3 linked regions of the Diceros bicornis minor genome follow. Each later gene encodes a partner of the first gene's protein in a complex. Links are inferred from orthologs where the notes say so. Each region holds a gene or a part of one and is shown in the gene's direction. Other genes may lie near its edges.

Region 1 (3,744 bases):
CCATGGTAGGGAATTTAGATTTTATTTTAAATCAAATGAGAAGTCACTGAAGATTTTCAAGTAGGAGAGGGACATAATCTGATTTATGCCTTTTAAAAGATAATTTAATTTGAGTAATTGGGAAGATGGAGATCAATATCAATGATAGAAAGTCACTGTAAGAGAAGATTTGCAGGAAATGATTCATTTTGAACATGTTGAATTTGATATATTGTACTTCCTTTGTGGCTTTCATATTAACACCCAAAAAAAGAATTTATGAGTAAGAAGGAATTATAATACCTACCTCTGAATAGTACAGCCAGCTGATTCAGTTGTTGTTTATAAGAACCTGCTACTAAAGGTAGTTGTTGCTAACAACAGGCACCATTTATTGAGCAGTCAGGCACTATGCTAACCACTTAACAATGTTTACATCACTGAAGCATCACAACCACCCTTATTAGAAGAGGACTTATTATCTATATTTTACAACTGAGGAAACTAAGGCTAAAGAAGATAAGTAACTCATTCAAGGTCAACCAGCCAGTAAGCGGCAGAGAAGGAACTCAAATTCCAGGTCTAGTTTGATGCCAAATCTATTTTAACCAATTTGCCATAACATGTTCCCAATAAGAGAAAGGCTGCTTGGATCACTGGTTGTGGCCATCATTCACAGAGAGATTGAAACCGAGGGTTTCTTTAATATATCCTTAAGCCTGTAGAAACACCTACCTGAGAAATAATCTAATTAAATTCGTCAAATTCTTTAGCCCAGAGAGACAAGTCTTGGAATTTTTGAGAAAAACAAACTGAGATCTATTTGTTGTTAACTCGATATGGAGAGGAAGTGAATGGAAATAAAACTTATTCTTCCCAGTGTATTTGGAATGTAGCTGCCTGAAACTGAGTAAAACGGCTACCCAATTTTGCTGGGAACCAGCGATTCTGCAGTCAACAGAAGTTTGCTTTTTTAACAGCTGGAAACGCCAGAACTGTGACACAGCCTCAAGAACTGAGGCTGCCTTGTTCAGACCTCCACACGGGTCCCTCTGTTCCTTTCACAGAGCCCTCTTTTTCTGAAACATCCCGCATATGCCGCTTGGGATACTCATTCTCTGGGCCAGGACCGAGTCCTAAGGGCAGGAGGCACTGGTTTTGGGCTCCCGTCTTTTCAAGGGGTCTGGACAAGAGCCCCTCCGAAGACCTCTTTCTGGACAATATTTATCGCTCCACCCTTCAGTGTCTGAAGAACAAAGACGACGACGGGAAAGAAACTTCAATTTGGTGCTGGAGGGCAGATCCCGGAGCAGCGGAGGACCGAATCACCCAACGCCCCCCTCAGCCTGACACGCAGAACCCCACCCACCCAGGACGGCGGAGGCCGCGCGGGGACGATCGCTCCGCCCCGCCCCGCCCCACCGCCGGCCATTGGCGGGTCCGAAAGTCGCGGGGCGGTGTCTGTTTGAATGTGAGCGACTGGAGCCGGGGCGCAGGCGCAGAGGAGGGGAGCGGTGAAGAGCGGGCGGCGCTGCGGACCCCTGGTTGGCGGTGGGACGTGTCGGGAGGCGAGGCGAGTCCAGGGAGGTCTGGCCCACGTGACCCGCCGGGGGCCGGGTCGGGGGGCGCGCGCCGGCCTCCCGCGGTGCCCCTGCCTGGCGAGGCGCCCGTGGCGCGCTGACACGCCTGGTGGAGGGGCTGCCGCCGCCCGCCCGTCGCCCGAGGCGGCCGCTGCTGCAGCTTCGCCGCGTCCCCCGCGCTCCCAGGACTCGCCGGCCCGCGGGAGGTGAGTTCTGAGGGGCGTTTGAGGGCGCCCCGCGGCGGGAGGTGACAGGGAGGGGGCGTGTGTGGGACGGGCTCTGTGTCCAGGGTCTGGGGGCGACCGCCTTTGTTCGGGGCGGGAGGAGCCGGGGGTGGTCGGCGGGGACGCGAGTGGAGAAACCAGAAACTCGGGATGAGGGACAGCTGCGTCCAGGACGAGCGCTCAGCTGCTTTCTGGTGGACGTTTTAAAATGAGAGTAAAGCTTACGAGCCTCGTTCCCTAGTATTTTTTAAATAAAAAGTTCCCTAGTATTTTTTAAATAAAAAGTATATTAGGATACAGTGATTTGTCACGTATTCTCAGTGTGAGTAACAAACCTGAAAAATCGGAATCCCTGTGGAATTAGACCCCAGGCAGATTGCAGTCACTTGTAGTCGTGCGCTGCTGTCTAAACCAGGCAGTTTTTGTCAAACACCTGCGTTTACAATATTTAAATTCATGATCTTTCGGACACCAGCCTGTCGATTTACCATAAAAATTGGTAGTTGCTGCAAAAAGTTTTAGTAAGCATGGAATGTTAAGAAAGCCCTTTGCTGAAAACCTATAGAATATCTTCGAATAGTAAAAAGTGGAAAATGTGTAATTTCCTTGTTTTGATGGTAACCAGTTAGATCATTTTAACTAGTATCATTTGAACTCCGTTAAAGAATAGGAGTAAGGATGGAAATTTTATTTGCCTTAATGCATAATTAAACCCTACCGTGGAGTTAAACGAAGTAGGCTCTTGGCTCTGCTTTCTTCGGCTTGTGTTGGAGTCTCTCGTCGTGGGTGTGGGAGGTTGATGTACCGACCGAGCTGAACTTTCAGGCTGCCACTTTAGAATGGTGCGCGGAAGATTTCCAGCCTGATAGCCGCCAGTGTGATTACCTCTGATAAATACCACTTTTGCTTGAATTGTCACTTTTCAAGAAGCAACTGTGGTTGATTTTTAGAACTGAGTAAGCAGCAGATCACTGTTGGTTGACATGGATGTGTGTGAGGGCTCAGGGGCTGAGGGACAGTCTCATACCTACTCTTCTTTACACCTTACCGTGGATTCGTTCTGACAAACTCTTTCTCAGGCTGTTCTTTACAATGTAAGGAGTGGAGCAGATACAAAGTAAAAAGTTGTGTGATATTGTTGAGAGGCATTTCCTCCGAATCCTCTTTGGCTAGATAAGCAGTTTAGGTGTGTTTTCTTCTGTTATTCAATCAGACATGCAGTGTTACAAATATTATATTTTAATATAAATCTCAGACTTGGTACTTAGGCTAATTGTAACACAGATAGGATATAGTCGTTTTTAAAATGGCCTCGTTCTTAAGGATAAAATATTTCTAAGATTTACCTAAAAGATAAAATTTTGTAATTAGTAATCTCTGGAATTTTAAAATTGAAAATCTGGTATAGATTTAGACTATCCTAAATCTATTCTAATAGACATGTTCTTTTTTATAATAATAATAATAGCTATTATTATTATTGCTACTATACTTTGAGTACTTTCGTTAAGTACCAGAGCCAGGCATTGGGTTAGGTGCTTTATAAATCAGATCTCCCATCATCACAACACATGTTGGTGTTGGATAAGTATCATTATGCCCAAACCAACTCTGCGAGTTTAGCTCAAGATCATATAACTAAGTTACTGTGCTGGGCTTCAAACCGTGGCCTGATCCCAAAGCACATGCTGTATCGCGTCTGTGTCTTTGTTTAAATCTCCTCCAGGTCTCTGGATTCCATTTGTAAGGACATAATCCTACTTTTAAGATGCCTGTAGGTGCTGTGTCTTGTTGTGAACTATGCAGAAATATTTCAGTCCTTAGTTTAGGACTTCTGTCTTCCTTTCAATACCTTATAAATCACAAATCCTTTTAATCATCTTTATAAAAACAGTAAAAAATTAAGAGTAAGACTTTCCTGAGTTATTTACATGAATATGAATATATTCTTTACTGTGGAG
Region 2 (3,744 bases), on another chromosome or scaffold:
TTTTGTTTTTTGAGTAAGGTTTTTTCTGTTTTTTTCCCTTCTCGCTCTGCCTGCCAGACCCTCCTTCTCCTCCCTTCTTTTCCTTCAGATTCTGAACCCCATTCAAATTAGTCTCCGCGCCACTGGCTCCTGGGACCCTCATCTCTCTGCCCCTCTAGTAAGAAACAGCTGTGCCCCCCTCCCCCCATGCCTCCTGTTCTTATTTTCTTATTTCTCCGACGCTCCCCTGGTGCTGCTGTCCAAAGACACACCTTCCCAGCTAAGCCAGCTGTCTAGTCTCGCTCCAGCGGTTCGGGGGAAGCAGAGGGAAGTCTGCACTCTCCAAATCCACCCCTCTGCGTTGGGCATCTCCCTCCCCTTCCCCTTGATAAACGATCCAGCCTCGATCATCCCTGCTCCTTCCTAATTGCTAGTCTTGTTTGTGGAACAAACCAAGGCTTTGGGCAACCTGCGGTTACACAGCTCTCCTTTGGTTTGGGGAGGGAGGGGGTAGCGTTCACGGTCCCCGGTGTGCCCAAGACTGTTAGACCAGATCTTTCAGATCTGGAGGCACAGGCAGCCGGTGACAAGAGAGCCCCCCCACCCTCGTGGGTGGGGGTGGGGAGAGGAGAAGGGACTCGGCTTGGGGAAGGAGGCAGAGAGGCAGCTGCAGTGCCGGGAGGGGTGCGTGCGCGTGTGCCAGGCTCGCCCGCCGCCTCCAGGCTCAGTCTGCGCTCCTCGGCACGCGGGGCAGCCGGGGCCGGGGAGTACGAACAGCGCCCCTTGCCCGGGCCTCGCCTCCCCAGGGCGCCCGGCATTCCCCCGGGCCTGGGCGCACGGGGCGGAGCGAACGACAGGGGCTGCGCTCCCCGCCCCCGCCCCTCGCACCCTGCCCGGCCCCCTCTCCATTGAGTTTTCCCCACACCGGCGCCCATCAATGGTCCTGCTCGGGGATGCACACGCAGCTCACGGCCGGAGGGGGGTAGCAGCCGCCGCCGCCAGGTGCGGGCTCTCCCGGGCCGCCGCCGCCACTCGCCGTCGCCGCCACTCGAGCCCCGGGGCGCGCTGAGGTCCTGGCCGGCCATGGGGCTGCCTAGGCTGCCGTTGATGGCGTGAAAAGGGGCGACGGAGCCGCCACGCTCGGGGTCCCCGGCTGCCTGCATGGATGTCTTCAGCTTTGTGAAGATTGCAAAGCTCTCGAGGTAGGGGCTGCGCCGGTGCATTTGCACCCAGGGCCGCCGCCGCGGGCAACTTGGTGCTTTATTTTTCGGGAGGCTCGGGGAGAAGTAAAAGCTGGAAAGAGCTGCGGGGCTTAAGATAGGACTGCAACGAGGTGGCCAGGGGCTGCTGCGTTCAACTTATTTCTCACTGGCTGGTGGGGCTTGTGTATCGACGGGTGTAGACCACACACACAGAGATACACACGCCCTCACGCACACACCAATGTTCACGACAGTTTGTTTTCCCTTAGGAAAAGCCCCAGTGGTACTTGGGGTCACATGTATAATTCAGGGCTAAGAGAAGATGGTTGTAATTGCTACTGCTAGGGAAAGCCAGAAGAGCTTAGAGCTTTGCTACCTGCTTTCCAAGCGGTAGTGACCAAAAGTGCCCCCCCGGCCCCGGCAATTAGACCTCCACACCCTGGAAAACTTAGCTTGTTTTGGGTTGACCCAGGTAACCGGTCAGGTGTTCCCAGCAGTGACCTAGATGCTGAAGTCATGGAGACAGAAGACAAAGACCTTTAGCCTTTCTTTGGGTAACTATGTAGTCCTAAGCCTTGAAAGACAGAAATTTGCTTCCAAGTGGCCGTGTTTTTGAAGTGGAAAAAAAGTCATCAATTCAGGCAGATTTCTGGAGCAGTGCTGATAGAGGAAGAACATTTCCACTTTTTGGCCACCTAGGTATTACCTGGTCAGAGCATTGCTCCTAGGTCTTCTGCTCTGCTTCCCTTTCCAAAGTCTTCATCGAACTCAGAAAGTAGGTCTGTGCTTCTTGCAATGTGGCATTAACTGGGAAGGGCCTGGTATGATTGTAGTGCGGCAAATTAGGAAATCTTGCCCCATCTCCTCTGCCCAAGTTTTTGGAAAGACTGGCCTTCTGCCCCGGGAGCTCTTGATAGCAGTTACTACCACACCTTAGGAGGTAGACAGTAGGGGTTTCCCAGGACGCAGTTTAGACTTGCTTTCAAGACAGAGAGAATAATTCTAGGTTTTCCTTCATTCCTTAGTGTCACGGTGGGACACGAATGCATCAGGCAAGAATGAGCGGCCTCAGATAGCCTAAGTCAGAAATGTATGTTGACTTTGCTTTGCTAAATTACATTTGAGACATTTCAGAAACATTTCCTTTGGATGTGGCCATTCAGATGTGCCTCTCCAACAACCATAGGTCTTGATTTGTTCTTCTTGCCCATCTCCACCTTCCCTCACTACTCACGTGGGTCAGTCTTAATGTCACAAGCAGATTTCCCAGGGAAAGGGCCGCATTGTAACTTAGTCTGGGTAGATGTGAGGTATACAGTTGATGGGTAAATGTCTTTATTGAAGAAGAGGCGTTGCCCTGCATGTCAGAAGACATATGTCAAGCAGTAGATGATTGTAGTGTGGCAAATTGTTTGGTTTCATGCTGATATCATAGAGGGCCATGGCTTCACACCTCTATTCTATTAACTTCCTGCATGCTTCTGCCTATGGCTGGTTTATCAACAGCTGTCAAATCATGAACCATGGAATGGAAACGGCTATGAGCAACAGTTTAGCAATTGCCTGATGCCATCTGTGTGATGGCAGAGAGATTGCCAAAGGGAAAGAAGTTGAACCAATAGTATAGTTTACAGTAACCAAGGTAGATTTCAGTGGCCTCAAATGCTAAAAAATGATAAGATTAACGAAACATCTAGAGCCTAGATTTACTTAAACTTTGGAGTTTGGGAGCGCACAGAGCTGTGTGTCAGTGAAAAGATGTTTTATACTCGTTTTGCTAAATTCTAGGGTGTCTTCATGATATTCACAAATCTGAGTTTTTGCAAAACCCAAGCCAGGCTGTGGGAGATTAGTATCTTATTTTAAAAAGAGGTTAAAATTTAGTAAATGAGTGTGAATTTCACTTTCTATCCTTAACGTGATCCAAATAGAGTGTTTATTCTAAAGAGAGAAGCTGCACATGTTCTGAGCTTATGTGCCTATTAAGAAATCTTCCATCCATGGGAAATCTTCTTGTTTCTCAGTGTGAGCTCAGTGATGGTCCCCGAGCTGAAATAGAAATACCTGTAGAGGGTCATCAGCATGCAGAAACACATGTTTGCAGCTGCTTGTTTCTGCCCTTGAAGGAATAAAGTCCTGTGCGTGTGTTGTAAAGGCTGTTACAGAAATCAAGTTCTTTTCTCAAAGGTGAAGTATAAAAGTGCTTACACTGCAGGATTTTCCTGATTTCAGAATGGATAATCTTCCTAAAGGATTTAGCTTTGATCAACGTGGTTACTTGAGTGCTTAAAATTCTCTTGGTTTGGAGATGAACACACGTAGTTACCCCGGGCCTTAGCCTTGTCTTGGTTCTCAAGAACTTGAGTTTCTAAATGTTGATTCGGAAAGCATTTGCTGTAGAAGCATACCTGATATTTTCTACGTGTTCTATCCGTGAATAAAGAGAGTGGTAATTACAAAGAATTACAAGAGAATACTTATCCACACTGGAATTAATAGGCAGCACATTTTGACTTTTCAAAGTACCTACATTTAACTACTTGTTGCCAGAGTCTATGCCCTT
Region 3 (3,744 bases), on another chromosome or scaffold:
GGATGAGAATACCCAAGAAGAGAATATAGAGTGAGGTAGGAAGTGGGCCTAGGACCAAGTGGGGGGCCAGGGCTTTAAGATAGTAAGTGGACCAATCAGGGCCAGCTAGAAGCCATCCAGAAGCCAGTTAATCATGGGAGCATCAGACATGGGTGCTGTGTTAGCCAGACTGTTTCCTGGCTAGTTTAGTTAAATCTGTTTGATTCCCACTGTCTTCAGTCTCTCTAGTTCCCTTTCCCCACTTAAACTTTCAAGGAAGGATGTGAAACTCATTCAGCCTGAAGTATAAATAACCCAAAGTAGGCCATACAGGTTTCTTCTCCCTGGGGCCACTGAACCTACTCCTTGGAACAAGTGCTTACACTAGAGAGGCTGTAGGCTCAAGCTAGACACTTGGCTGTAAGTTGGCGAACTGGGGTCTAGTCCTAGCTGTCACTGACTTGGTGTGTGGCCTTGGGCAAGCCGCTGCTCCTCTCAGGGTTTCAGTTCTCCAATCTATGAAATGGGGATACATATGCTTGACTCATAAAGCTCAAAAGAGACTGCATGTGAAAGCGCTGGGTAAGTTACTAAATGTAATAGATCTGTCATGAAGACAGTAAAAGGAATGAAGCTCTAACTGTAGAGCTTCGAGAAGCAGACCACGGAGGCGTAGGAAGAAGAGATCGTTTAGGCACAGGACCCCTCATGAATGTGTGGGAAGATCCTGCTGACTCTCTGAGAAGAAGGCTTACCCTGGGGTCTTCCTGCTTGGAAAGAAATGGGCAGTTCAAGCCCCATCAAGTTTCCTACATCTCCAGTATTAGGGCCTGTGATGTACTCTAATGCTACTCCCTTGTCTCGAATAGGGTCTCAGTTCCTCAGAGGGAAACCAACCCCATGTCTGAGGGCGTTTCAGATCTCCCAGGGTGTGTCAGGGATTTGAGGCATTCGTATTAGGGGGCCCCATGTTTGTGATGGGGGAGGTTCTAAAGCACCCCCAAATCTGTATGGGTATACATCTCAGCGTCCTTCCCTCCCCTCCCCGCGCCCCTCTATCCCACATGTGTGTTGTGTCTTGTTCACTGTGAAAGGCGATAAGGGGTGGGGGGTGGGGGGGGTCTCAGGTCCCCGAGAGAGGAAGTTCTTAGTCTCTCCGGGTGCCCTTCCCCTTTCCATAGAGCTCTCGTCCCCTAGAGCGAGTTTCCTGTTTTCCCGCCGGACTCACCCGCAGTTGCTTCCCCTCCAGCCTCGGCGTCCCACTACCTTAGGGTTACTCAGCGCAACTCCATGGCAACTACCTTCAGCACTGTATGCGCTGCCGCGAGGCCTACCCGGAGCTGTAGTTCGTCAGGGGCGGGGCTCCAAGGCCGCGGGAGGTGCTGGGATTTGTAGTCGTCTTTGCCCTCAAGTCGAATCCGGGGTCCGGAAGTAGTGACACCCCTTCTCCTTTCCCAGTGGCCCTCACACTTCCTTTTCTCGGGTCCTCAAGCGTGCCCTTGCGTTCGACACCCGCCGACAGGGGCCAATCAGAGGGCGGCGCGAGGGGGCGGTGCCATAGTTTAAACTAATTGTGCTCTCACAGCGCTCGCGCGAGCCCGCGACGAAAACACTCGGAGGCACCTTGAGGCGGAGCGGGAGCGCGCGGCCAGGTAACCGGCGCGGGCCCACGGCTGGCGTTCGGCCTTGGCGCCCGCGGGGATGCCCAGGCCTAAAGGGGGTGCTGGAGAGGCAGGTGCGAGCCGAAGGCCTCCTTCATAGCCGAGTCTGACAGGGGAGAATCCGTCGGGGGTCAGGTGTGTGAGGAGACGGGCGTGCCTAGGGGGAAGCTCTGTTTGGGGGCGTGTCTGTGGAATTAGGTCTGACGGCGACTGGGGTGGGGGTAGTGCATGTTCCCGAAAGGCTTGTCACCGAGAGGTCCTGTAATGGGAAGTCTGCGCCTGTCATTGTTAACAATAGTAGTAGTAAACATCTTCCGAGCACCAACTACGTTTCAGACGCTGTGCTACACCCTTTATATGGATCATCTTTTAAATCTTCCGAACAACCTTATTGTGCTTTATGACAGATGGGGAATCGAAGTTTATAATGTTGAACTTGGCCGGGGTTACATAGCTGGTGAGTGGTTGGTTGTCCTGGGGTTCTTGAGGGTTGGGCCTAAATGAGGACGGGGGGAGGGAGTGCCTGGGGGTGTGGCTTGTCTTGGACGAGTCCATTTATTTTGACGCTCACTTTTCACATATGTAAACAACGAACTTACCTGCCTTACCTACATTCCTGGGGTGGTTGTGAGGGTCAAATCGGGTAAGGTGTTTCTTGCGAGCATCTTGGAGAGAACAGATTTGTGACTATAAGGGATGTGACTGTGTGAAGGTTGTTGGTGGGAGAGAGCCCATCTGGTTAATGCTGCCTCCTCTGGGCGCCCTCTTTTGCTTGCCCCTGAGGTAGCGTTTTTCATCTGGTATTCTAAGAGTGTCTGCATGTTTGTCTGCCCTTGTAGATAGAGACAGTGTCTTTTGTCCCTGTATCCTGATGCCCATGCAGGATATGAACCGGGCCATTAATGTGTGCTTTGAAATGAATGAGCTTTCTTGGGCTGAAGGGAGATAGGAGCCCGGCTTTCCCATCGTTATTTAGTGGCTGTTGAACCTCTGTATTAGGCTATCCTCTTGCCTGGAATGGCACTGCCTCCTGAAAATGTGATATTTACTTGCTTTAATCCGTGCTTCCCTCTCTCCAGTGTCTGTTGCCTGGTCCTGTGTTCCCAAAGTTCTGGATTGTGGTTTTTTTTTTTTTTTCCTGAGGAAGATTCACCCTGAGCTAACATCCGCTGCCAATTTTCCTCTTTTTGTATGTGAACCACTGCCACAGCATGGCCACTGACAGATGAGTGGTGAAGTTCTGCCCCAGAGACGCGGCCGGGCTGCCGAAGCAGAGCGTGTGGAACTTAACCACTAGGCCCACCAGGGCTGTCCCTGGATTGTCAAATGTGTTACTCTGTGGTGGGCAGACTGTTGATAGTCAGGGAATTGGGGGCTCTCTACCTTGTGGAGATTTTTACTGTTGGGAGTATATGGGAACCTGGAGGGAGCATTCATATCAAGTAAGGTAACTTTCAATCAGCAGGGATGAGTGTATCTGTTCCCTCCCTCTCTGTTCCTATGTGGATTTTCTTCTTTAGCGGAAGAAGCACATACTTCTCTGTGAAAGTTCCAGAGAACTCTTTTTTTGGCCCAAGTTCAAGCAAATGATGACTAATTGTAATGCCTGGTTCTTAATCTAAAACCAAAAGCTGTACTCCCCCCAAATTAGAAGATCTTCCTCAAAAGCTCATATAAGAAATATTTCTAGTTAGAATATTCTTTTTTATCCATGGAATATGGAAGTGGGAAGAATGCCTTGAACTTGAATTCTAGAACTATTAGGATGGGGGGGAAGTCCTGCCACAGATGACTAAACAGCTTATCAGGGAATGTTTTGATGGCGTGTCTAATTGATAAAACCCTATGGTCAGTGGGTATGTGGGGGGTCATTTATTTCAGCCTCTTACCCTGTGTACACTAAACATATCAAAGAGTGTTGTCCAGACTCACAATGAGCACTTCCAAGAATGAGACCACTCCGGAGTCCATCTCCACCTACCACCAAAAGGTAGTCCATCTCCATGTTTAACAATTCCAATTAATAATAATTATTGTTTTGTGCTGTCAGTGATTATTTCATTTTACCCCATGTATGTTTACTGTTTGTTTTGTCACTATTCTT

The links.
Region 2: the proteins of GPSM2 (region 1) and FRMPD4 are in contact, whole or in part, in a crystal structure (PDB 4WND), measured with the Homo sapiens proteins. The link is inferred for Diceros bicornis minor from reciprocal best matches to the Homo sapiens genes GPSM2 and FRMPD4. Residues at the interface, in NP_001307967.1 of Homo sapiens: Leu25, Ala28, Leu29, Glu32, Asp57, Lys59, Thr60, Ser62, Ala63, Ile64, Ser66, Gln67, Asn70, Phe73, Tyr74, His85, Asp88, Ala92, Gly100, Lys103, Asn107, Asn110, Thr111, Lys113, His128, Arg143, Tyr146, Asn147, Asn150, His153; in NP_055543.2 of Homo sapiens: Gln988, Leu989, Leu990, His991, Ser992, His994, Met995, Glu996, Met997, Glu998, Pro999, Glu1000, Thr1001, Met1002, Glu1003, Thr1004, Lys1005, Ser1006, Val1007, Thr1008, Asp1009, Tyr1010, Phe1011, Ser1012.
Region 3: the proteins of GPSM2 (region 1) and NUMA1 are in contact, whole or in part, in a crystal structure (PDB 6HC2), measured with the Homo sapiens proteins. The link is inferred for Diceros bicornis minor from reciprocal best matches to the Homo sapiens genes GPSM2 and NUMA1. Residues at the interface, in NP_001307967.1 of Homo sapiens: Ala28, Leu29, Glu32, Cys35, Lys36, Phe47, Lys59, Thr60, Ser62, Ala63, Ile64, Ser66, Gln67, Asn70, Ala71, Phe73, Asn110, Lys113, Tyr146, His153, Lys157, Pro164, Gln165, Arg203, Gly206, Asn207, Asn210, Tyr213, Leu214, Arg228; in NP_006176.2 of Homo sapiens: Ser1901, Phe1902, Tyr1903, Met1904, Gly1905, Thr1906, Cys1907, Gln1908, Asp1909, Glu1910, Pro1911, Glu1912, Leu1914, Asp1916, Trp1917, Asn1918, Arg1919, Ile1920, Ala1921, Leu1923.

Annotation. Positions count from the first base shown.
Region 1 is NC_080743.1:42,060,971-42,064,714, forward strand, and holds the start of GPSM2 (G-protein-signaling modulator 2), read left to right. Parts: upstream 1-1,540; 5' UTR 1,541-1,765; intron 1,766-3,744. UniProt on the Homo sapiens protein: Plays an important role in mitotic spindle pole organization via its interaction with NUMA1. Required for cortical dynein-dynactin complex recruitment during metaphase. Plays a role in metaphase spindle orientation.
Region 2 is NC_080781.1:9,643,803-9,647,546, forward strand, and holds the start of FRMPD4 (FERM and PDZ domain-containing protein 4), read left to right. Parts: upstream 1-1,034; 5' UTR 1,035-1,140; coding exon 1,141-1,181; intron 1,182-3,744. UniProt on the Homo sapiens protein: Positive regulator of dendritic spine morphogenesis and density. Required for the maintenance of excitatory synaptic transmission. Binds phosphatidylinositol 4,5-bisphosphate.
Region 3 is NC_080746.1:58,562,513-58,566,256, forward strand, and holds the start of NUMA1 (nuclear mitotic apparatus protein 1), read left to right. Parts: upstream 1-1,533; 5' UTR 1,534-1,631; intron 1,632-1,657; exon of another isoform or gene 1,658-1,775; intron 1,776-3,744. UniProt on the Homo sapiens protein: Microtubule (MT)-binding protein that plays a role in the formation and maintenance of the spindle poles and the alignement and the segregation of chromosomes during mitotic cell division.